Arabidopsis thaliana: one gene and its partners. The protein of the gene in region 4 interacts with the protein of the main gene of each other region in a pairwise test. Each region holds a gene or a part of one and is shown on either strand. Other genes may lie near its edges. The genes, in order: AT2G44710, WRKY7, MPK18 and AT5G44090.

Region 1 (6,601 bases), on a different chromosome or scaffold from region 4:
CCAAAACGATATTACCCAATCCTCTGCTCCGTCTCCAAGAACATGCGGAGTCTTGTTCGCTCGCCTGAAATTCACAAGGCTCGATCTTTACTCGGAAAAGATTATCTCTATATCGGCTTCATCGACGAAAATTATCGCCCCGTATACGACTACTGGTACACTCTCCGGAGAATCGAGAACAGTACGACCGAGAATCTCTTCGAATCCATTGAGTTCCCTTATCCTTCCGAGCCTAATCGATTTTCCATGAACGCCGTTGGTCCAAAGATCTTCTTCATTTCAGAATCTTGTACTCCTTCATCAAGACTTTCGATCTTTGACACCCGATTTGGGGAGTTGCGTCAAGGACCTTGTTTGCTAGTGAAGCGAGGGTACAATTGCGTAGGACTAGTCGGCGGTAAGGTCTATGTGATCGGAGGCTATCAGGACGACGAGATTGCAGCGGAAAGCTTTGATCTAAATACGCAAACTTGGGAAGCAGCGCCGATTCCCGATGAAAAAGAAAGTCACAGGTGGATTTGTAAAGCAAATGTTTCATTTGACAGGAAGGTTTGTGCTTTAAGATCTCGTGAAGGCATGACTTGTTATGACACTAGAGATGGTTCTTGTCAGAGATCTGAGATGCCTAATGATCAATGGTCTAGAGTAGGATTGTGCGTGATTGACAATGTGCTCTTTGTTTACTTCTCTAGATTCGGGTTAATGTGGTATGACTCTAAACTGATGCTGTGGAGAGTGGTTTATGGTTTTGATCTTGACAACGCTCGATCAGTTGGAATCGGGGAATACTACGGAAAGTTGGCGTTTATATGGGAAAAACCAAGTCTTAATGTTAGTGAAAGCAAAGAGATTTGGTGTAGAATGATTGGTTTGCTTAGGAGTGAAGTAGGAATTCATGGAGCTGCAGAACCGTCTCAACTTGTCGAGATTGTCCCTAACGGTTATAGAATGTGTCATTGTCTGTCTCTTTCAGGTTAAAACATGTCTAGTACTACTTTCTTTGGTGTAAAATGATTGTTTTGGATAGGAGTGAAGTAGGAATTCATGTGACTAAAGATGATGATGTTTAATACTTTCGTTAGTCTATATCAATACAATGTGTTACAAGATTATGAATGTGTTGCGGCGTTTACGTCTTCAACTCTCGATTTATTCAATTAATGTTGCAGTTTCAGCATCTTCCTCTGTTCCACCTAATCAAGTTTGTGTTATTGTAAACTCACTCAGTTAAGTGTATTTTACATCGGAGTTGTTGTGTTGTGTTTCTCTTGCCCATTAAACCGATTCCATCGAAAACTGTATTCTTAAACCGAATAATGCAAATATAAATTATAAACCAAGACGAAACCAAAAAAAGATAACCGAAAATGAATGAAAACCGGACTGAACATCGGTAATACAATTAGTCAACCAACACACTTGAAACTCCATACGAGTAAAGGCCCATTGGGGATGAGGATATTTGGGCCAATCCTTCTTACCGTTTTTCGTTTGTTAACAATTACCGAATTAAAAGCTTGATCGCCACGTCTTTTTCTTAATAGAATATATTGATTTTATTTATCTTTTATTTTTAGACCAAGCTCAGGCTATCATCTCTCCGTTAATTAGGGTTTTCTTCTCTATCTCGATTTCAATACCATTGTTGATCCGCTGAGCTAGGGTTGTTCGATCCCGATAATTGTGTCGCTTAGCTCTGATCTCTGTTCATCGAATTTGGTTAATTTGTTTTGATTGGTTAAGATACATTGGAAAGCGATGCCACCGAAGGTTGTGAAGAGGGGAGGCGCCGCGAGAAGAGGTGGGAGGCTTACGAGATCGGCGCTCAAGGCGCAGAATCCTCACGTGGAATCTTCCCATGACGAATCTGTTAATATCGGTGAGCTCTCAGGCTCCGATGCACTGGAAGCCAAGGAGGTGACTCCGGAGGTTGATAAAACTGTTGAGGAAGAGAATCCATTAGATGTGCCGAAGTCATCGGATTCAATTGATGATTCTGAAGCTGCAGCGAATCCGCATGTTGATGTTCCGTCGAAAAGTAAGATTCTTTTAGCCTGGTTATTAATTTTGTTTCGTTTTTGGGATTCTCTACGTTTTCGTTGTTTTGATGGATCTAAGTTTCGCTTTGACGAAAGTTTGTGACTTAGAGTTCCAACATATCTGACCATAGAGATTAAATGAATGTCTGACCATTGAATGTATGAATCTAATTTGGAGGATGGATGTTTAGCTGTTTTTAATTCTGTGGAAGATAGACGTATCTTCTGAGATTGTTATCTCTGAACAAACTTTAGGCTACCTGGAATAGTGTAGATGTTTTACTCGCTTTTACTCGCAGAGGAGACTGAGGTAGAGGAATCTGTGGATGATTTTGGAAAAGATGAAAGATTGGATTTAGATGACAATGAACCTGAGTATGAGGCTGAGGAATATGGCGGGGAGGAGTTTGAAGAGAGGGAATTGGGACAGGAGGACCATGAGTTGGTAAATGAGGAGGGGGAAGAACTGGAGGAAGAGATTGAGGTCGAGGAGGAAGCTGGTGAGTTTGCAGACGAGATTGGAGATGGTGCGGAGGACCTTGATAGTGAGGATGATGATGATGATCATGCTATTGAAGAGGTCAAGCATGGAGAAACTGTTGATGTGGAAGAAGAAGAGCATCATGATGTTCTCCATGAGAGGCGTAAGCGTAAGGAGTTCGAAATATTTGTTGGGAGTTTGGACAAAGGTGCTTCGGAGGAGGACTTAAAGAAAGTGTTTGGTCATGTGGGCGAGGTGACTGAAGTTAGGATTTTGAAGAATCCTCAGACAAAGAAGAGCAAGGGTTCTGCTTTCTTGCGTTTTGCAACTGTGGAACAGGCAAAACGAGCTGTTAAAGAGCTTAAAAGCCCAATGGTAATTGTCTACACTTTAGTATTTGATGGAGAGTTTGTGTAGCTTTACATTTTGTATCATGCTCTTGGTCATTGGGACTGCAGATAAATGGTAAAAAGTGTGGTGTAACTGCAAGCCAAGATAATGATACCCTCTTCGTTGGTAACATATGCAAGATATGGACCCCAGAAGCTGTAAGTATTTGGGTGTCCGTAGATATGTCAATTAAACCCAACTCCACAGTTCGTGGTGATCCTGACAATCAGGTATTTGTTGTTGTTCCAGTTGAGGGAGAAGCTTAAACACTATGGAGTTGAGAATATGGATGATATAACGTTGGTAGAGGACAGCAACAATGTCAACATGAATCGAGGGTATGCCTTTTTGGAATTCTCATCTCGCTCAGATGCCATGGATGCTCACAAGCGTCTCGTCAAGAAAGATGTGATGTTTGGAGTTGAGAAGCCTGCAAAGGTCTCTTTTACTGATTCTTTCTTAGACCTGGAAGATGAGATAATGGCGCAGGTACTCACATTGCAGGATCAATTATTTCTAGCAACTTTCATCCTACCATGTCTTCTTTAGAGCGTTGGAGGAGTTTATAGGGGCATGTGTGGGTGCCACCTATTCTGTATGGTGACTTAGAATACTTGCTAAACCCATCATGAAAACAGAGTCAGAATACATATTCCTTTTGGCCCTCTAACAACATGCTAGATACTGAATTATTGATTGTTGGTGAATCTATTATATCTAACTTATCTATCTTGCTCATAGTAATTAGTTTTATGATATTTCTGGTGTTACAGGTTAAGACAATCTTCATTGACGGTCTGTTACCTTCATGGAATGAAGAACGTGTTAGAGACCTTCTGAAACCATATGGTAAACTTGAAAAAGTTGAGCTTGCTCGCAATATGCCATCAGCAAGGAGGAAAGATTTTGGCTTTGTAACTTTTGATACTCATGAAGCTGCTGTGAGTTGTGCCAAATTCATCAACAACTCAGAGCTAGGCGAAGGGGAGGACAAGGTATGCATAATTTAAATGCATTATCCTTATCCACGAAGTATTTTCTTGCTTTCTAATTCTCTTTTTTTTTCCAGGCAAAAGTGAGAGCACGCCTGTCTAGACCACTTCAGAAAGCAGGTAAAGGCCGACAATCTAGTCGCTCAGACCAGCGGTCTAGGCATGGGGCTGGACGGTCTGGAAGGAGTTCATTTGCTCGTCTTCCACCTCGTAGCCTTGCTTCCTCTCGGAGTGCTAGAGGCGCTGGATCTCGGGCCCCATCTTCTAGTGCAAAGAGAGCTTCTGGATCAAGAGGAAGACGTCCTCGCCCACCTCTACCTCCGCCTGCAAGAGCTAGGCCCTTGCCTCCACCTGCAAGAGCCAGGCCCATGCCACCACCTGCAAGAGCCAGGCCCTTGCCACCACCTGCTAGGTCATATGATAGAAGACCTCCAGGTACCACTGGAATTATTACATGTTTAGTTATCTTTTTTAGTTGAATCTCTTTTGTGTTCATGTATCTAATGATTCTGATCATATCTTCCATATTGTGTTTTGCAGTTCCTCTGTATCCAAAGGCTAGCTTGAAGAGAGACTATGATCGGCGTGATGAACTTCCTCCTCCAAGAAGCAGACCAGCTGTAAGCTATAGTTCCAGGCTTTCTCCTGAGAGGCATCTGTCTTACAGAGATGATTATCCACCCCGGGGTTCGGGTTATTCAGATCTTCCTAGAAGTTCTTCTCGCTCTGAAATTAGGAGGCCATTCGTAGATGACCTTTACAGTCCGAGATTTGAAAGACCTCCAAGTTACAGTGAGGGAAGACCTCGTGCTTATGAACCTCTTCCTGGATCAAAGCGTCCATATGCTGCACTGGTCTGACTTATTGTTTTCTCCGACCAGTTTGTCTTCTTAATTTTGTTTCTTTAGACTATGATTGTTTACTCTAACGAGTGTTCATTATTCAGGATGACCTTCCTCCCCGTTATGCTGATGTTGATGTTCGTCATTCAAGACCCCGTCTGGACTATGATGTTGGCCCATCTCAATATGGGGAATCCTACGGGGACCGGTATGTTCTCTTTTTATGGATAGCTTCAGTTATTTTTGGTAGCAATTTTCTGTGCCAAGTGTATTATTTTCTTACTTCCATGTTTGGTCTAGGATTCCTAGGTCTAGTCTAGGATATGGAAGCAGCCGAAATTCTATGTCAAATCATGACTCGCGGGGCCCATACAGCAGTCGTCAGGGAATGGATTATGGAGGAGGTTTGATTCAGAACTTGGCTTAACAGAGAGCAATACTTCGTCGAGATACACTTACTGCCTTCAATGGCTATAATTTCATAATGTTGCTTTCTTCAGGTTCTTATAGTGGCAGCGATGTAGGAGGTATGTACTCGTCAAGCTATGGTGGCGACTTACCCAGAAGAGATGTAAGTGGCTTCACACTTTCCCCTTTTTTATATTTATTTTGGAAAGTCAAGTTGTGTAACATTTTAGTATTGGATTTACAGGGAGGAGGTAGCTCGTATTCTTCAATTTACTCCAGCCGTGGCTTGGGTGGTAGTAGTTACTCTGGTGGTGGTCCAGGATCATACTACTGAATGTGAGTGTGTTTGGTTCCTTCCATCTTTAGTTGTGTCTTTGTGCATTATTTTTTGGTTTTGTTTGTGGGATATATTGTTGGTTGGAAAGAAAACGGTATCTCCTCTTTCAAGCTCTAAGCAGGAACTATAGATCAAATGTGTGCTTAAGTTTGTTAATGGAACACAGAATTTCACATGACCGAGGCTGCTAAAAAAGGAGGTTTGGCCATGCAAAGTTGTGTATGTAGAAAGGAAGCTACCAGCTGCGAAAGGATTAAAGCCAGCTTCGGTGAGACTGTTGGAATATTAATGGGCTTGCATCTACAACTGCACTTGTATCTTTTTTCGGATGGAATGATAAGCTCGAGTTTTATAGAGATGGTTCATAGTTGTGGGACTCGTTATCTATCTTATCTATCTCTATCTCTTGAATAATGGATGGATTTGTTGGAACAGAGATTAAGCTGTGTTTGTATTATTGATCCATCAGTTTAGTTAAGCTTTCACCGTCTTCTCAGCTTAAGATTTGCATTACTTCTGTTTAGATCTGATGCTTGCTCTGTTTTACTCTCACTGTGGTAAAACAGAGACATTATCCTTGAGACTTGTGGAAGAGACATTAACAACCTCTCACTGTCGGAAACTGAGGAACTCCCAATTTTTATACACTTTATAACATACATAATCAAGCAGGGATACATTACTGGTGTTAGACAGATGCATAAGCTAATAAAAGCTCTTTCGATTTCTACAATCTAGAAAATTTGAAAATCACACATTAATTTAATTTATGGCGCCTTTTGATCAGGAGTCAGCTAAAGACGACGACATTCTTCTATCTAGCTTTCTTCTTCTTGTCTTGCTCCTCCGTAGTAGTATAATCTGATAAGCTTTTAGCAAACGCTTCCACAATTCGTTGTTGAGATTCCAAAATCATCTTTGTCCTCTTCATCTCTGTATCCATCCTCATCGCTTCTATCTCTCTCGTCATCTCCATTCTCGTCTGCTCTGTTCTCACCAACGTATCTCCAAGCAGCTTTATCGCACTAGCTATCTCCACCATTGGATCATTATCATCCTCCTCCGTCTTCATCATCATCTCTCTCCCTCGTTTCCCTCCTCCTTCAGGAATT
Region 2 (4,378 bases), on a different chromosome or scaffold from region 4:
TTACATATAATACAATTAAACAAATTTTAACTAATTAGATAACATACTCTAAAATATGATTGGTCTAAAAAATTTTAAAACATCTTTTTAAAAAAAGTCTCTAAAACATCACTTAAAAGTGATATTGAAGAGTTATAACGCAATGATGCATGAATAGCTGATTTTCTTGGTAACAAAATTTTGTAGTAAAGCTTTAAATTTTTTACTAAATGTTGAAGTACTTTACACTTGAATTTATAGCCGTTAACATAATCATAAACATTGTCAACTTTGTTGGAAAAAACACACTTAAAAGGATAACGACATTGCATCTGAGGTTTTTCACTAATGCTGAAATAAATACTTATTAGAGCTACTTATTATTTGATCGACAACTTTTCTAGTTTCTATAAACGTGTGTTAAGTTGATTTGACTATGTAATCTACAAATAGTTCTTTTTTTTTTTGTTTAACGAAATTTGAATTGCAATTTTTTCCAATTACCAGCATAGCATTATGGTCAGTTGAATCTAAATTAACTGATAATTTCCCTAAAAACTCAAATAGTTCTGCAAGTAAGAAAAGAATCAGAGATTTGACAAAAATAGTGCACTAAATATATATTATCCTAGAAATAAATAAACAGAAAAGGACATTCACATGATTCAACTTCCATCAAGATCCACAACGTTCCTCTCTCGTCTTTATCTCCCCTCCCTCTATTTCCTCCAATCAAAAAGAAAGATAAAGCAAAAGCTTTTCAAAAAGAAAAGAATAAAAAAGTGCAGTGCGGGCCCACTCTGTCGTTGACTAATCTGGATAGTGGTCACACACAGACAGTTCCCCTCAAACTCGAGAAACTAAAGAGTTTTGTCATGATTCATCGTCGTCGTCTCGAGAACCAAAGCATGGTTGTGGTCTCCTTCGTACGTCACGATTAGCATCATCGCATCATCTAGTGCACGCTCCACATGCTTACGCGCCGGACAACCTCTTACACTGCTGCACTTGTAATATCCCCTGTCATAACCATTACACCGAGTCCTCCCCAGTTAGTTCGAGTTCTTATTAATTAATGAGAAAAGAAATAGTCAACTTAACTCTCGGCTTTCTATTTCAAATTTATTCTATAGGAAACAACAAGTCAAAAAGAGCGTGAAACTGAACCCACTACTGTACTACTAGACAACATGTTTGGTACAACCGATATAGAAAAAAACAATATTGACAATCTCTCTGGTACTAATATTGACAATACACAAGTTGCTTAATTTTCTAGCCAATATTTGATTTTTGGTGTTGAATCTAGTGAGTGATTGTGATGTATGTGTAGAGTATATATATCGATGGTAAAAAATGTAAAAAATAATTACCGAGGATGAGGAGAGCCTTTGATTGGTTTTTGACCATATTTTCTCCATGAAAACTCATCTGATGGTATATCAGCCATTTTGCTACTTACTGCTGGAACTCTAATCACTCTTTTTACTCTTGATTTCCTGATTTTTTTACACAAATTATAATTAACGTTTTATTAATCAAATCTCAAGATTTAGATCTAAAATAAGATTAATTTTTAATAATAGAAGTTGAATCAAAACCTTTTCTTGGAGCAATGGCAACGGCTTGAGGGAGATGAATTACATCTTCTCTTCAACGAAGCTGATGATAAAGGAGGTTTACCTCTCGAACCAGAGAGCTGAGATGGGTTAGTGAACTCGAATCCTGATGACATGTGAGTACTATCGGTGTCACATCTATGAGAAGACATGAATGAGTTCGTCGCTGAGACTGGTGGTGACGGCGCAAAGTTTATCGTTGACGGTGCTCCGTTTGCGAGCATCGGAGGAGATGAAGAAGACGAACCGTTCTTTGTTTGATTCTGATTGTTGTTGTTATTGTGTGATAGAGGAGGACGACGATGAATTGGTGTTGGACAATAAACTCTAAACGCAGATCCACCACCGTGATATTGCTCTGTTTTCTGTTTTGTTAACACGGAGCTTGTTTCTGGCTTCTTCTCCTCCACCTCCACCTCCTCCTCAACCACCGGCGTTTGCTTAAACGGCGTTTGCGTTGACGCGGGAGCTCGTCTGAATCTAGCGTGTCCGGTTCTAGATCTACCGAGTAGAGAAATGACCTTCTTGAAGCTGTTAACGGCGACGTCAGTCACCGCGGTTATCTCCGTCTGACTCTTCTCCGTTGGTTGTTGACTTTGACCGATCAGTTTAAGAAACTCCTCCACACCGTGAATCCCTGCAGAAGCAGCTTCTCTCAAAGCGGTATCTTCCATTTTCGCCGCCGCGGCGATTGCAGGAAAACCATCACCTCCTCCTCCGCCGCCGCTGTAGCTGCTCATCATCAGCTCAACAGTCATCTCATCAAATCAGAGACCAACCACTCAGATTCTTATTAAAGGTCAAAGGAGATGTAAATAAATACAAAGATTCAACAGTTTTCTTGTAAGTTGTGTTTTTGGTTAAAGAAGAAGATGATGATGATGATGAGGGGAAGAATAAATGAAGAGAGTGAAAAAGGGGGAGAGTCAACGATATGCGTTTCTCTCTCTATATCTTTAGGTATGTGTTGATAGTGCATCAGTCAAATCGACCACCACTCATAGGCTTACACGTGTGATCATTTGTCAAGCGTTTTGACACTCCTCAGCGTCAATGATTTTAAATTTGGAGCAAGTGGAGCTCGAATTATATATATATTCGTTATTATTATTCGAGAAAAATCTAAGATATTTTATATTTTTGAGGCTGATTAGATGCTAAAAATATAAAAATTAAATTTTTAATTAAAGAAAGATCTAAAAGGAGGAAGGTCTCTCTCTTCTCTCTATAGTATTTTTCAGAGAAAGATTTTTCCGATGTAAGTTTAGAATCGCCGTCCGGGTTTCTTCCGGTTTCCGTTATCTGGATTTTTTCCGGCTATTATCTCCCGTTGATCGGGATTTAGATTTCTTTTTGGGCAATTTTGAATTCGGTTTCTTCGGATTTGTTTTTGTTTTGTAGCTTTAAAATCTTGATGATGAAACATTATGACAGGCAGAATCTTCAGTTCCGAAGAGGTGTTCTCTTCGCATGATTTAGTTTCTTTCTGCTTTGATTGGCTTCACCGTTGGGTTCTGTTTTTTTTGGCTCCAACAGTTTTCCGGCGATGTGTGCGTTCTCGACAATTAGGTTCGTTTGGATCTACTGTGTTTAAGACAGTTTCAATTTCTCCACGACTAAGGTTAGGTCAAAGCTCGTTTCCTATGCAATTAAGATATGCCTTTGTTGTTCTTGCAAGAGATTTAATTGTTAGACAAGTTTGAACTACTCAGTTTTCTCTAATTTCTTTTACCCATTTTTGCCGAATCCTTTGTGATTCTTGCAATCGGATGAGATTAGGAGATTGATGTTTGTTCTGTAACTTTTAATTGGTGATAAAAAAGAAGTCTCGTTGACCGGTGATTTTCCAACGACGTTTCTGATTCACCAGGCTTGAGTCTCATGTGCAGTGGAGGTTAGGCCTGGGCACGAAGCGAATATCCGGAAAATTTGGGATATTTGTTATTCGATTCGTTTTAATCGAATACTTAATTTTATTATTTGCTTTGATCCGAAAATTTCCAAATATCCGAAAATACGAATATCCGGATTTTTGTATGATATTTGTCGGATATCCGCTTTGCTTTGCTACATCCAAATATTTTTTTATATAAATTATTTAACATAGATTTCAAATTTCTTACCTTATGACTTACGAGTGTGAGATTGAGAGCAACTGAAAATTTTCTGGTTATAAATTCTGTAACCAAATTGAGTGATAAAAATAGTGAAAGGTCGAAGAAAGGAAACAGAAATGTCGCTCTTATATTTGATGGATTGGAAAGTAAAACGACAATTTTAGGATAAAATATAAAAAATAAAACAATTTTATTTTAAAAAATTCCACTTCTCTAATAAAAACTGTGTCACAAAAAAAACACAGGCCCAAAGGATACAAATACAAGCCCAAATCCCAACATATACAAATGCACAACCTATATTGTGATATATATATATATATATATATATAGATCGAAGCGAATATCCGACTTTAGAAAAAATAGTATTTGTTATTTGCTTCGGTTTTTACGATTACTACATTTTTCTATTTGCTTTGCTCCAAAATCTTACGAATATTCGGATTTTTCGAATCAAATCAAATCGAATATTGAGTTAAAGCGGATCGAACGAATATTTTGTCCAGGACTAGTGAAGGTTGTGGACGTTCCACGTGTCCCTAGCTTATTATTATTGGTCTGACACGTCTATAGCTTATCTCTTCTTTTGTGTCGTATGAGCCTTTATATGTGGGATGTCTTGGGCTTTATTTTGGTTTTCTCATAACCAAGCATTGTACTGGT
Region 3 (6,135 bases), on a different chromosome or scaffold from region 4:
ACATTTCAGATCAATTAAAATAGAATGAAATTTTGATAATTAATTAAGTATGTGTATAAAGAAAGAAATAAATATATTGCATCGTTTTCCAAATTATAGTGATTGACGAATAAAATATGATTTTCCTTATTTTAGAAGGTTAATCGTGGTATTTAATTAAAACACCTGGTTTATTTATGATATAACGTAGACATGTCAGTTCAAATATTTAATTAGTTGATTACAAAGATAAGTACATGTCAACCTAAAATTTAATATCATCATTTCAACCCAAAAAAAACCTGAGATTATATATAACGGATCATTCAATGCAAGATGCTTAATGCCACCGTCACGTAACGAAATAATTGATTTGCTTCCTTTTTGGTTAATAAATATTAAATAGATCAAATGTGTACACTTTCTCATGACTTGTTAAATTGAGAAAGTGATATTCGTTATGATTAATGGACGCCTAATATTACCTTTAATGGGCTAAACTCAGGCCTACAAACTTGGCGGGTAAATTATAAACATTTCAACGGCGTCAAAATTTCGAAGTTAAGGCGAATTTCATTGTTAACCATGATGAGTCTTGAGGTCAAGAGCATTCCTTTTTTTCATTGGCAAGTTTTTTTTTTTCTTTTTGTAACCATTGAATAAAATTGACTAATTATATAATCTGAGAAAGAGTGGTTTACAGAAGAAAAATCTAAGGACCAATGTTTTATTTTGTTACTTCCACATTCTTCGGCATAATGTTGTCTATATTAACCAATCAAGACCATATTTTCCAATAACCAAAGAGATTCCTTTTTTTGTTGAAGAACAATAAAGACTAATGGGACCGATTAAGAAGTTTAAGAAGTATATAATCACCACGATATTCTTCTCTACGGTGAACTACGCTTATGGCAAATTCAAAGATTATGGAGCCAACAAGATAACCGAAACAATAACCGGGACTGACCCGCAATCAGACTAATCCAAGGCGATCTTGTTCTGGAGAGTTACAACTAAATAAAAGTCTTTCTTATATCATTGCAACGTAGTTCATATCAGAGCCTGGACTGAATAATACTTACATAAAAACTAGAGAATCACCTGGTGGAGGAAGATGTGGTGGTTAAAGATCTGTCTGAAGTGTTGTCTATGATGCTGCGCTGTAACTAATTGTGCCTATGTTCCGGTGTGCTGCTACTGCAACCGCTGCAGCTCCTGCTGGACCAAACTGTGATTGTGCCTGCAACAGCTTAGCATCAATGGCCATATGTGTGTTGTTGTTTAATTGATCTGTCTTCGGGAGCTGTGGTTGAAAGTAAGGGTTTGGGTGGTTCATAGTCTCAACGTCTGCTTGGTTAGTTGTAGCAGCTGGTGGCTCAGTGGGACTGAATTGGTGGACAGGATTTTGTGGCTTTGGTGGAAAAGACGAAGCTTCTATGTTGCGGTTCTCCGGGTTTGTCATGGTGTTTGGTCGGAAGTAGCAATGAGGAGATGAAACCGCGCTTCTGAAATAAGCTTCTTTGAGGTTCCTGCCATTCTCATAAGATACAGATGATTCCACAACACGACCTGGTCTACCTGTAAAACATAGGGTGAAAGTTAGTTGAAGTTTCTAACTTTAGGAAATAATATTTGGAGATATGATTGAGACCTGATGGTGGAACTCTTGGTGGAGGTCCGATGGATTTAGTAGGATACGCGGAAGTTGATGGATGTCCTGCAGAAGAAGCTCCATTTTTTGAAGGCTCGAAAGAAACACGTCTACTATCTGTTGCACCCAAGTTGGGTTGCGAGGTGGAATGGACTACAGTTGAGTGAACCGTAGACCTGTGGAAAACAATCATATCTATTAGAATTAGAAGAGTAGAGAACATATGAAAGTTTTTAGAATTAGAAGAGTAGAGAACATATGAAAGTTTGCTTGAGGCCTTCGACCATATGCTTCACAAATGCTAAGCAGTAGCAGAAGAAAGAACAAAAGAATAAGCATATTCCCTACAGTCGACTTGTATATAAAGAATGAGAAAACATACCGCGGTAGTGATGCGTGTTTCCTCTCGAGAGGTATGACCGGCCCATTTCTACTGCTATTTTCCTCTAAGTAAGTGAACTGCTGTCTAAGATGTCCAATGGCGCTGCAAGTGAAAAAGTAAAAACATGAATAAAAAGCCAGGCAGAGGTACGCGATTGGACATAAATTCAACGGGAGAAAGAAACAAGAAATGTTTCATTTGGTAAATAATAATAAAAGGTAGGAAGAAATTCAAACCTAGGATATACAAAATTAGACCCCTCAGATCCGCTCATATAGTCCTTGAGCAACTGAGGATGGTACTCCAGTATTTCTCTGTATATTAGTTCTCTAATGTCGTCCTTTGTCAACCTTCGCCTCTCAAATTCAAACTCCATTTTCGAGATTTGCTGACTTGAAGGTTCTCTTTCAATCTTAGAAAGACCCTTGAAGTAAGGATCAGCTAATGCCTATCGAAAAACAAAAAGATAGCAAAGTAAGCAGAGAGATACACACAAGACGCAAGGCAGCTTTACAAAGAGGACCGAAGAAGAATCTAATTACAAAGTGAAAAAGACAGAAAAGAGACCTCTGCAGGAGTCGGTCGATCCTTTGGATCGAAAGCCAACAGCCTCTGCAAAAGACGGAGTGCTAATGGATCTGCTTTGGAAAATTTTTGCGAGAAGGTGACAGGATTTTTCTTCCTCATTTCAGTCAAGTATTTTCTAGCTTTATCATTACGAACCTGCATCAGAGAAATAAATGTTTAGCTATACAGTTCAATATATATACGTACTCCAGAAATTAATGTGAAGAAGAAAAACGGATCATACTCCAGAAATTGTTTCTGATTTTGGTGTGCCAAGAAGATCAGTAATCAACTCCAACTGATGGACAACACTTTTTCCCGGAAACAATGGCTTCCCTGTTAGTACCTCTGCAAAGATGCAGCCAATGCTCCAAACGTCGATAGCTGGAGTGTACTGCAGAATAATTTTGACTGTAAATCAGATTATGATGAAAAAACAAAATCCATGAATATGAAGTTGCAGATGCAAAAGAAACCACTCAATGAACATAACCTGATACAAGGTTACCTGATTCATAGATTTTCAACTTCGGGGAGAGTTCAAGTCATCCCTGAACAAGAATTATTTTAATATCCCACTGGGGCACAACTCTATACTTATACAAGTAACATCAAATATCAGCTATTAACACTAATCTGCATATATTCTACACTAAAGAAGACTAATCTGTTCATAAGACCTAAGCATAGCCAATTAGAATGCATAGAAGAAATCCACAGTAACACCTACCTTCGAAAAGAATGATCCACAGAGCTCAGGTGCTCTATACCATCTTGTGGCAACATAGTCCTGCATTGCGATTAAATGAGTCAGAGAGAAAAATCAAACACACAAATTAACGGCTAACAAACAAAAGGTCTCCTCCTCGAGGCTACTAACCGTCCAAAAGACTGTCGTAGGAGTATCATTAAACGCTACTCTAGCCAATCCAAAGTCACAAACTTTCAACTTGCAATTTGCGTTTGCAAGTATATTCTTTGGCTTAAGATCACGGTGATAAACATTAGCTGCATGAACAAAAGGATAACAGTAAGTTACAACCAGAAAAAATACAAAACATGCTGCCAAGATTCACAGGTCTGAAACAATGAAACGAATCACACCTGTATGCATGAACTTTAAAGCACGAAGCATCTGATAAAGGAAAAACTGGTGGTGTTCACGAGTCAAATCATCATTAGCTTTAATAACTTGATGAAGATCTGATTCCATGAGCTCAAACACAACATAGATATCTTTAAACTCTCTCTTAGAAGGAGGCAGCATAATGCTTTTGATCTCCACAATATCAGGATGCCGTAAAAGCCGAAGAAGCTTCACTTCACGGAGAATACGAAGCGCATCAGAAATATGTTCAAAGACATCATTAATCTTCTTAATAGCAACTTTCTCTCCAGTATGTGTATCAATAGCTGCACACACAACTCCATAGCTTCCTTTACCAATAACTTCCAGAATCCTATATCTGTTTGCATCACCATACTCTGTGAAAAACTCCATCTCTTTCGTGCCCTAGTGAATCACAAAAGTAGACAAAACACAAACTTTATCCACACATCTTATTTATGCTCATGCAACAAAACCAAACCTAATTGCAATTGAAAAAGGAAAGATTTTATTTTTTTTGTCTTTAAATTTGTAAAAGGATAAGACTTTATCCTCTGTTTCCCACATTTAGAATCAAAGCATGATTGAGAGAGATAGAGAGCAAGAAGCGAACCTTCTTCACTTGATTTTGTTGCATCTTCTTCTTCAAAATTATCAAAAATCTGGATCGGCTTTTCGAAAAGTAAAAAAAAAAAAAAAACCTAGATTGCTAAGAATCCGAAAACTAGAAGAACTCAAAATCAAGCCCAGTCTGTGAAGAAGACGATACAGAGAAGAGCAAAACCTAGATCCAGCGATCGAAGAAGAAGAAGACGAGAGAGGATTTTAAAAATACCGAATTTGAGATATTTTTTCTAAATTTGAATAAAAATAATTTCTAATTCTAGCAATTTCTCGTGGTACTTATTGCGTACGGGTGTGACAAATCCCAGATAGTGGCAGTTTCGTAGTTTTAGACAACATTTGAGGGTAAAGTAAATATTGGTTTTCTCCCACTGTGGTCTGTGGACGACCTTTTTGGAAAATGACCCAATGGTTTAGACACCTGTTGCTGGACTTGGACCGTTTTATTTTTCTTAAATTCCGATTTTGACCCCTATCTTAATTTTGTTTTGATTCTAACCATTCTTTTTGATAAGTGGTCAATTTAACCCCCACGTGATAGTATTTCTCGTACCACTGAAAGGAATATTATTAACATTATCTCAATTTTGCTTATTATATTCCTTGATTTAAATTTTTAAGATTGAAAAATCTATATACAATTGACTAATTCATATGTAAATAAATATTGTTGAAGGATATTTGTCTTAGATTTTAATTTATTTTGGTAAAGACGATACACGATTAATATATTAGGATAAAATACCATCTTTGATGAACATTTATTCCATGTAAATCAACTAACCTTGAGAAAAAGACCTTCCAAGTGTCAAGTTGTTTGCTTGATACTATGGGATGATAAAAACAAAATCAAAAGAAAAAAAAAAACTGCCATCCTCATTGGTATATGACTTAGTATTTGATAGAAAATAAAATAAAATAAATAGATTAATAATTTTGCAATTCGTGTGAAACTAATATTCACATGTCAATTTACACAATTTGGCTTTTGTATTTATTGAAAAGACCAACATATTTAGTGTCTGGCTCATATTAAAAGTTTATCACAATAGGGGCAAATCCACAAAAAGGTGAAGATTATGATAATATTATAACTGATCTTGATTAAAACAAATCCAACATCTTATTATTCATTTGTATCTGAGGCATTCAAATCCAAAGTTGGTTCATTATCTAAAGTACAAAATATCATAATTTCAAATTATCATACTCCATATAATTTCACACTATACGACGATGTAGGTGGTGCATGTGTCAATTTATTGTCAATATTTTAAGGCGTTATAACTTATAACTAAAGTTGATCCTTTTTGCATATTTCATTGCTTTTCATTTTCTTCTACTTTCGGTTTTAAAATCATAATTTTACTCTCTTTTGACTAAGTGCGCATTTTAAAATAATTATCGGCCAAAGATAAATATAAATGATGGTTGACTGGTTCTATCTATTTAGACCAGGCTCTGCATAATATATATAACCAGCATATCTATTTTTAAAATAGTTTTAATGGTTTTTCAAAATGATATATATAATATTTTGAATTGCAAGTTTAATAATTCGAAGATATATATATATATATATATAATCATGAGTCAGAATTCAACAGAGTGGACACAATATTACCATTCATCACATGAATCATGCTTTTCGTGTATGTATGTTTTAGAGTTTTGACTGGAGGAGCCAAAATATCTCCACCAAGCAGATTTATTTTGTTTGTTTATTTATTTGAGTTACATCTTATTAAAATTCCATGAACCATATATAATGATAGAAGAAAAAAGGGATCACCCATAAATAATGATAATTTGTGCACAACT
Region 4 (7,860 bases):
AGAAAGTGAGTTCATGCTTGTTAAAACAAAATGCACGACTTTTTAACACATCTTCCAAAATATCATATTGACAAACAAAGTTTTAATGATTCTTATACAAACAAATAACCAATGTCGGCTCAAACCAATCAAAAACTGATATATAGTATATAATTTGATTTGATATTCTATAGTTTATACGAGAATTGTAGTTGATATCATAGGCACAAATTTGCTAATGAGGAAAAAGCAAAAACAATGATCATGTAAAACAAGTTTCAAGGTTTGTAAATTTCTTCCCACAAAAAAAAGTGTCTTTGTACATAGTTCTTTCGATTTTAAATAAAACCGTTGTTGTTGGTTCCACAAAACACTATAAAGCGGCGTATATAATAATATACATAAGATTGAAAGAGGGTCCAACCTGAGAAACCTAAGCAAGACAAATATTTCATGAAACTAACACAAGCTTACGCATCGGATAAGTCTCTTGGTCGCCAATCTCTAGGTGGAACCGTGGAATGGACTGGCTTTCGTGGTTGTCTGTCTGAAAATTGTTTCCGAGGCTCTTACCACCCAAGAAGATCTGACTTCTCCCTCTTCTTCCCAAGAAACTAGTAAAAAAAGCAACGAAAACGGCTTTTAATACGTTTAATATACCAAAAGATACAAACTTGTAACATTGAGCACATCAATTTTGCTATTTCATACATGCATAAGGAACATGATGCTGACCAGTGTTGAACAAAGTACCTCTTACGAGTCACTAAAATGGAGATTCGAGTGGTTCATCCCAAACATCTGCACTCCCATTCGAGACTTCCTCCACATCTTCCTCCATTGACAACCTCACATACTCTCTCTGAGCAAATCGGTCCCATTCCGTCAATGTTGGATTCTCACGTTCCTGTCAAATGGAAAACAAAGTTGGTTTAGAAGTAGCAGAGACTGGAACAGATACAACCGGCTGCAGTAGTAGGTGACTATCTGAACTTATAATAATTTTTGCGAATTTTTATGGCATTAATAAATATTCAGTAGTAACAGTTTCAACAGCTAAACGAAGGATTGAATAACCAAAGGGAGGAAAACTCTATAGAAAACCTATGTTTACCTGACGAATGAGAAAAGGGTCACGGGTTTCAAACGCCATGAATTTGTTCAGGTTAAAGAGTATATTGAAAATATTTCCAGAAAGTTTGGATGCTTTCAGATCCTGGAGTGTGATGCAGTTCTCCTTCTGAAAGAGTCATTCGACAAATTGATGATGCGAATAAGAGCAAAGGAACAGACAAGCCAGGAATATCAAAAGACCATGTTATGGTTTAAAAGAAATTTTGCCTCTGGTTTAATCATGTCGAATATTTGACATAGGATATCTTCAAAGAGTACAGGTTCCTGGGTTATACATTCCATGCGATGCAGCTGCTCTTCGTAGAAAAACTGCATCTCGTTGGGAGTGATCACCCCATCTCCATCTAGGTCTATGCACTTGAACCTGCAAAGATGGTTTTAATCAATATCAAGGGAAAACGAAAAACAAAAAACTGCCAAGAACCTGTGTTTAACATCGATGGGAGATAGATGAGCATACCAGCGAGGTATGCCCTCATATCAGCGGTTCAACTGAAAATGTTCTAGATTCATGAGATGATGAATGAAAATGTTCTAGGTTCATGAGATGATGAATGAAAATGTCTTAGATTCAAGATGGGTATCCTATGTTCATGAAATAATAGTACTACTAAATGTTTAGTGCGTTCAAAATATCAGGTAGGCTTGTATCATCAAGAAGGCCACATATGCCACAAGTTTTGGCTCAGAAGTTATACATTTATAGTGACATACTGTGAGCTAAGCAGCTAAAGGACAAAATGGCTAAAGAGAAGTCACTAAAGACAAAAAGAGAAGAGGGGAAGAGACATGTACCAATACTCAAGACTAGGCTCAGATGACTTATCCTCCTCAGCGAGAATAAAGTATGCAAAATCTTCATAACTCATCTTCCCCTCAACTTTGCTTGTAAATTTCCTAGGAACCTGAGTGAGAGACAGCCGTAATTTCAATTAAGAAAGAAGGAAACACACTCCATAAGATAACAATTAAGTTTCGAGAAAAGTGTTCATTAACATTTTGACAACTGGAGCCAACCTGTGAAAATATTCTGTCGACAATCCTGTAGGTAAGGGCATGATTACCATATTTGATGAGATTTTCCTTATCAATAAGGAAATCATGGTCGCCATCGAGTTCCCAAAATCTGCAGTATATCACGTAGAAATGCTCATAGGAGAAGTACCTGAAAAGTAAAGAAAAGGTCATATTGAATGGTCAAATCATGCATGATGTCTTGCCACAGTATCACAATATGAACTACCAATACACTTCTTCCTCTTTATGAGTTTTATGGGTAGTGCTTATGTCTAAGAAACAATTCGAAGACCTATGCACTACCCATATTACTCACAATGCTACACACCTTGCTGAGCTTGAATTCTTAAACAACTTAAAGTGGTCTTTATTATACAAATAAAACTAAAATCTTAATCTTTTTAACGTATTGTTTAAGAAATAATGAAAAGGAAAACAAAGTCACCTAATAACTTTATTGATGTCGTCTTCTTCATCAACTTGTTGCATGGCAGTAATAAGATTCCCACGCTTCAGCTCTCTAAGAGTAATGCAACCAGTACCTGATCTGTTTATGTAGTAAAATATTCTGTAGATGACGGTCTCAGCTGGGTTGACGGAATAGAACACAGAGATGAATGAAACAAGCACGGGAAAAATTATGAATTAGTCAATAGATGTATAAAACAGTAAGCACCTGAAAATATACTATATTTAAGAAGCATCTCATAATTTTCAAAATGTAATTATAATGAACAAGTACATAGAATTAAAATTAGAAGAATTATTGCCTAGGCCAATCAAGCCAGCTAAAGATGTCACTTTCAAGTTCGTCAATGCGTTTTGAAAGATCATATATATATGGAAAGAAATTGTACGAACGTCTTAGTAGAAAACAGACATTCTGGTAGAACTATTTCACACCATAACATCAATGTATCAAAAACCAAGTTCTTACCATATCTTTCTTGAAACTCAGGTGTATTCCTCAGGAATTCCAAGCCGGGATGAGTTGTCAGAAGCTCATCAAGAACTGGTTTGAAGTCAGCCTATCCCAAATCCAAAAGAAGACATTAGCCTTCAGGACTAAAGAAATCAAGTGAGACAATAATCATTGGTAAACAAATCAAAACAGCAGTGAAGAGCTGGGAAAAGAAAACAAAGAGACCTGTCTAAGGTACTTGCAACCTGGCTGCCTTAAAATATTATATATCTGTGAGGCTACGTCCATTGCCAACATATGTCCATCAACCCAATACTTGATAAATGCATCCCTGCAGGAACCAAATATGGTGTATTTAAAAGATACTAGCTAAACAGAAAGATTACAGCTGCTGTATATTTCTATGATATTACTCATGATTTGGCTAATTTAAAGATGTATCAATTCCAAACAATATCTACAGGGTAGAAACTTCAATATTACTTATCACAAATGTTCTAAACAATATATAAAATCGAGCACACTAAATTTATTGAAAGTAAAAAGAAATTATATTCGAGTGGCATAAATAAATAAAAAGATAACAATCAGGTATTAAAATTACTATGCCACATTCCATTTCTTTTAAGGGTGAGCAATTTATGAAACAAATAGCTGAGCGTGCATCTGGAAATCCAGACCAATGTGATCTATTATTATATTACATGAAACACATATGAATACCAGTGGATATATACATTTAACTACAATTACATATGAAAAGAAAGAACACAATGATTTACCTTGTAACGATACCGGTGCCACTCGTGTCTATCTTTCTAAATAGTACAGAGGAAAGAAAAGAAGGCAGCTTGCAGACTTCTTTAGTAATGGATTTGAATTCTGCAATTGAACAATAGCAAGAATGTGTTTGTAAGATCAACTGTTTGTCTATTCATTACAGAACGGGACTGTGATGTAAAAAAGCTTGTATTTAAACATCACCATCCATATGAAGTCCGTCTATATAGTTACTAAAAAATTGATCAACCATGGATATACATTGCTCCCTTAGTTCCTTCGCAGGTGGACGTCCATGTTGGAAGTAAAACTGCATAGCATATCAAGGCATAGAAGCGTCAAACAAGAATGTTGAACAATATTAGCTAAACCCTTCAACTATGTAAGATGTCAAACGGATGACCATAATAAACTTACTTGTTGTCATCGTTTTGTTAAAAAAAAAATTGTACCTATGCTACTTGAACGAAGAATTTAGTTTCTATTGTATTTGTTCTCGTGGTTCTCCATCTACTTAGAAAACTATTACAGTCTAGTTTCAACAATTACGTGAGCATATATAAAACAATCAAATCATGATGTCAACTGTCAAGCAAGGTAGTGCCTTCTCATGTTGTTTGTAAGACATCCATATGAGGAGCAGTTGGATAAAAAATCGAACCTGTGGAATGAGTTGGCGCTTTGGTTCCCTGACTGATTTCAGAGGAGACTGTAGAGAAGGGCTTGTCTTTTGCCTCGAGAAACGGGGAGACCCAGGTGAGCCTCGTGGGGATAGTGGGGGAGTGCCGCTGTTCAGAAAAACAGATGGCAATGCACTCCCGCAAGCAACATTGAGACTAGTACAATTTTTGGATACACTGACTGGGGTACTAGATTTAGTATCATCAATTAAAGACTTGACCTGCACAAACATCACACAGATGAACTGTTAAAAGAGGACCACGTAAAACCTTAAACGAAAAACAACCACCAAAAGTTTCTTCACCAACATGAGTCGGCAATCGGCATACAACACTGGACCATATTCTCAGGAGCTTTAAGTTAAATCTGGTACTACACAAATACAAACACTTCTCAAGTTTAGCAGAGCCTTGTAATATCCCAGTACTATTATCACCTAAGTCATTATAACCCCTAAATGTGCTATTCAAGCACTCTTTATCTAACACTAAGTAAAATCTATAAGAAATAAACAAAACTACTAAATATGCAACAGCCGAGGATTCAGTAAGAGCAATAAGCATGTTGAATCTTGCTCTGCAGAAATTGACTTGAAATCAGATAAAGTCACAACAAGGACTTACGAACAGGTATCAGCATATACATAAAACAGGCGCCAACTATTAAATGAACAAGAAACCAAACGACGCTAAGGAGCCACTGAGCCAGAGGCTTGGGAATAAAATTACCAATCGGCCAGTTTCAGGAAGTGAAAGCCACTGGGAGAAGAGTTCTTCAGCAATATGAGGATTTTCTTTAAGTGATACAGGAGACAAACCGGGAAGCTGCAAGAGCTCAGGATCCAAAATCTGAACATCGTTTCCACCATCGATTTCCATGATTATCTTCTATCTTATTCACTGAGAATCAGAACTACAACAAAACCCCAATATCGGAATTCCTTGAGTCAATTCTAAAATTGGATCGAAACCCTAATTTCTTCCAATAACTTGAAGCAGTAACTCCAAAACAGGATTCTCAGACTTTTCAAAGATCTATAAGCACGAAATCCAAAGAAAATTCAATAAAAGCAGCTCTGACCAATCGAGAAACTCTCTAACTAGTTGAGAAACACCAGCTCGAAGAAGAGAAACTAAACGAAAACCAAAATAAACGATTCGATAAACCCTAGATTCCCAAATTCTATCAACAAGCAAAACAGAGTCCTATACAAAACTTCTTCTGCAATTCAAGCACAAACGTGGAAGAAATTGGAAGATCCAAAGAACACTGATCTCTCTCTCCGATCAATAACAAGCTCGACGACGAGAGGAAGTCGTAGAGAATTTTTCCAGGGAGATTGTGTTATTGATGAGAAAATGAATTAAAAAGGAAAAAGTATTTAATTTTGATTTTAATACTCTCTCTCAGTCTCAGACGCAGTAGTACTAGCGGTGGTGGTGGTATTTTTGTTTTCCACTTTTAGTCCTCAACGTTGACCAAAAAGTCAACCAAATCCAGCGTTCTTTATCCGTTTTTGCGATCATGTTTATTTGAGTCTCGAGTCAATTAATAAATCGCAGAAATTAGCGATCAAATTGTTTGTTTGGTTGTTAAACTTCATGACGTTTCGACTGTTATCATCAAGATTGCAACTGATTCATTAAAGTCATAAAAATGTGACTTCACATGTGTAAACCTAGTTTTGAAGAATGATGATGAATATTTGTCATTTCTCAAAAATTGTATTGGAGCACTTGCTTTTTTAGTCGAAATGCAAAAGTATGTAGGAGTAGATCATATGAATCTAAAAATGAATGTATTTTATATGTGTAACTTCAATATGAAATTCAGTTTTGCCACTTTATTCGAAGATGAGCGCTAACAAAATGTGAAGAGTTTAACTATAACCATTCAAGTATACGATCAGTGAATAAGTAAACATTTGAAGTATGGAAAAAATAAAAATAAAGAGTTTTAGATTGGAGTCATCTAAAGTATGATTTGACTAAGTAGATGAGCTAATTTTACTATTAAGCCAAAATTTCACCGTTTTTACATGATTTGACCAGAGTATGCCTGCCCCAAAAAAACAGAAGCATTAAAAGAGACCAAAGAGCAGTTGATTGTTTTGTTTATTACAGTACCAGTACAGATAGGTTCGAAGTAATCGAATATACGGATAGAAATTTTACCGTTTTTACATGGAAACTCTCTCTACATTTTTGATTGTTATGTTTGTCTAACACATATCACGATTACATAAACAAAACGAGTGAAAAAGATCTCTGCAAGCTGAAGCTGAAATTACATGTAAAAAGATCTGAGGATTTCATCAGGTTCAAATATATGAATTCCCTCAAACCAAGATTCTCATCTTTCTTCAGAGGTAATTTCTTTGGGTTTTCATGGAGTTTGCTGTCTCTCTCTCCATCATTTTCCTTTATTTCCGAAGAGAGAGAAGCTCGAAGCTTCTTAATTGATCTTCCCGAGTGTTTCTTGCCGCTGTTGCACGAGAGAAAGACAGAGTCTTGGATTCATATCCAGCTTGCACTCTCTGGCTAGTTGAGGGACGGCCATTTCCACTGCCGCTGCCACCACCACCGCTTGAGGAAACCAGACGACTTGAAGTTCGGCTTTCGCTTGGTCCACCTGCAGAACTTGGCCGGGAGCTTGAAGCAGCAACGGCTTTCCTAGAAGAAGATGCTCTATATCTTGAGGAACTGTTTGCTCTTTCGGAGTCTCCATGCTGCACAAATAAAACAAACACAGTTAGGTCTTTGTCTTATTTAGCGGTTCTGATCAACAATGTATGTAAAGAGTAAGATTTTTACTGTCTGCTTAGAGAAAGGTCCGTCGTCTGAGTTTCTTGATCTAGAACGATCTCGAGGCGAAGAAGTTGTAGTCGGGTGTCTTCTGGAGAATGCCTCCACTGCACCTGGGATTTTATATCGGGTTGTTTCCTTTCCTACACGAATGGTAAATAAAAAAAGAGTAGAAATTAGAGTGAGGAATGGATGTGTATGGTTTTGAGATTTTTAATAGAAGTAGGAAAAGCAGAATTTTACCTAGGATCCTCTCTTGTCTTTCAATAGGATCTGCGTTGAATCCGGGTTTCGCTGTTGTATGATGCTGGAAAATCCAAAGATTTACATTTACGTAAGTACAGAGAAACTCAAAAACCATGAGGGTAAAAACACAAGTATAAGATTTTTAATAATCACCCTTGTTCGTGAACTAGAACCAGAGCTGGATCCGATTTGAGGATACTTTAAGACTGTCCAGTCAAATACATAATCGAATTGATAACCTGTAAGAGTTTCAACAATATGAAAAAGATAAGATGAGAGTGGCTTGAAACAGTAAGC

Evidence for each region.
Region 1: the proteins of AT5G44090 (region 4) and AT2G44710 interact in a two-hybrid assay, tested with the Arabidopsis thaliana proteins (one large-scale study listed by BioGRID).
Region 2: the proteins of AT5G44090 (region 4) and WRKY7 interact in a two-hybrid assay, tested with the Arabidopsis thaliana proteins (one large-scale study listed by BioGRID).
Region 3: the proteins of AT5G44090 (region 4) and MPK18 interact in a two-hybrid assay, tested with the Arabidopsis thaliana proteins (one large-scale study listed by BioGRID).

What each region holds. Positions count from the first base shown.
Region 1 is NC_003071.7:18,431,144-18,437,744, forward strand, and holds AT2G44710 (RNA-binding (RRM/RBD/RNP motifs) family protein), read left to right. Parts: upstream 1-1,542; 5' UTR 1,543-1,758; coding exon 1,759-2,038; intron 2,039-2,089; exon of another isoform or gene 2,090-2,313; coding exon of another isoform or gene 2,314-2,338; coding exon 2,339-2,895; intron 2,896-2,978; coding exon 2,979-3,068; intron 3,069-3,159; coding exon 3,160-3,399; intron 3,400-3,683; coding exon 3,684-3,905; intron 3,906-3,979; coding exon 3,980-4,337; intron 4,338-4,442; coding exon 4,443-4,756; intron 4,757-4,848; coding exon 4,849-4,952; intron 4,953-5,044; coding exon 5,045-5,148; intron 5,149-5,244; coding exon 5,245-5,315; intron 5,316-5,396; coding exon 5,397-5,486; 3' UTR 5,487-5,488; exon of another isoform or gene 5,489-5,655; 3' UTR 5,656-6,078; downstream 6,079-6,601. Other genes in the region: AT2G44700 (Galactose oxidase/kelch repeat superfamily protein), read left to right, coding at 1-978; AT2G44730 (Alcohol dehydrogenase transcription factor Myb/SANT-like family protein), read right to left, coding at 6,304-6,601.
Region 2 is NC_003075.7:12,569,908-12,574,285, reverse strand, and holds WRKY7 (WRKY DNA-binding protein 7), read right to left. Parts: upstream 2,749-4,378; 5' UTR 2,357-2,748; coding exon 1,581-2,356; intron 1,479-1,580; coding exon 1,353-1,478; coding exon of another isoform or gene 1,349-1,352; exon of another isoform or gene 1,000-1,348; coding exon 840-999; 3' UTR 513-839; downstream 1-512. UniProt on the Arabidopsis thaliana protein: Transcription factor. Interacts specifically with the W box (5'-(T)TGAC[CT]-3'), a frequently occurring elicitor-responsive cis-acting element.
Region 3 is NC_003070.9:19,969,832-19,975,966, forward strand, and holds MPK18 (mitogen-activated protein kinase 18), read right to left. Parts: upstream 4,563-6,135; 5' UTR 4,328-4,562; coding exon 4,304-4,327; intron 4,096-4,303; coding exon 3,687-4,095; intron 3,591-3,686; coding exon 3,463-3,590; intron 3,373-3,462; coding exon 3,313-3,372; intron 2,977-3,312; coding exon 2,827-2,976; intron 2,739-2,826; coding exon 2,583-2,738; intron 2,464-2,582; coding exon 2,252-2,463; intron 2,118-2,251; coding exon 2,016-2,117; intron 1,810-2,015; coding exon 1,634-1,809; intron 1,561-1,633; coding exon 1,130-1,560; 3' UTR 503-1,129; downstream 1-502. UniProt on the Arabidopsis thaliana protein: Mitogen-activated protein kinase (MAPK) that is specifically regulated by PHS1 and MAPKKK20 and mediates signaling that regulates cortical microtubule functions, maybe through regulation of microtubule dynamic instability.
Region 4 is NC_003076.8:17,742,519-17,750,378, forward strand, and holds AT5G44090 (Calcium-binding EF-hand family protein), read right to left. Parts: upstream 6,008-7,860; 5' UTR 5,392-6,007; coding exon of another isoform or gene 5,242-5,391; 5' UTR 5,077-5,241; coding exon 4,822-5,076; intron 4,734-4,821; coding exon 4,494-4,733; intron 4,143-4,493; coding exon 4,037-4,142; intron 3,935-4,036; coding exon 3,835-3,934; intron 3,384-3,834; coding exon 3,278-3,383; intron 3,159-3,277; coding exon 3,068-3,158; intron 2,718-3,067; coding exon 2,576-2,717; intron 2,279-2,575; coding exon 2,131-2,278; intron 2,019-2,130; coding exon 1,909-2,018; intron 1,478-1,908; coding exon 1,321-1,477; intron 1,220-1,320; coding exon 1,094-1,219; intron 887-1,093; coding exon 746-886; 3' UTR 733-745; intron 594-732; 3' UTR 248-593; downstream 1-247. Other genes in the region: ckl7 (casein kinase I-like 7), read right to left, coding at 6,936-7,241, 7,327-7,460, 7,561-7,624, 7,717-7,802.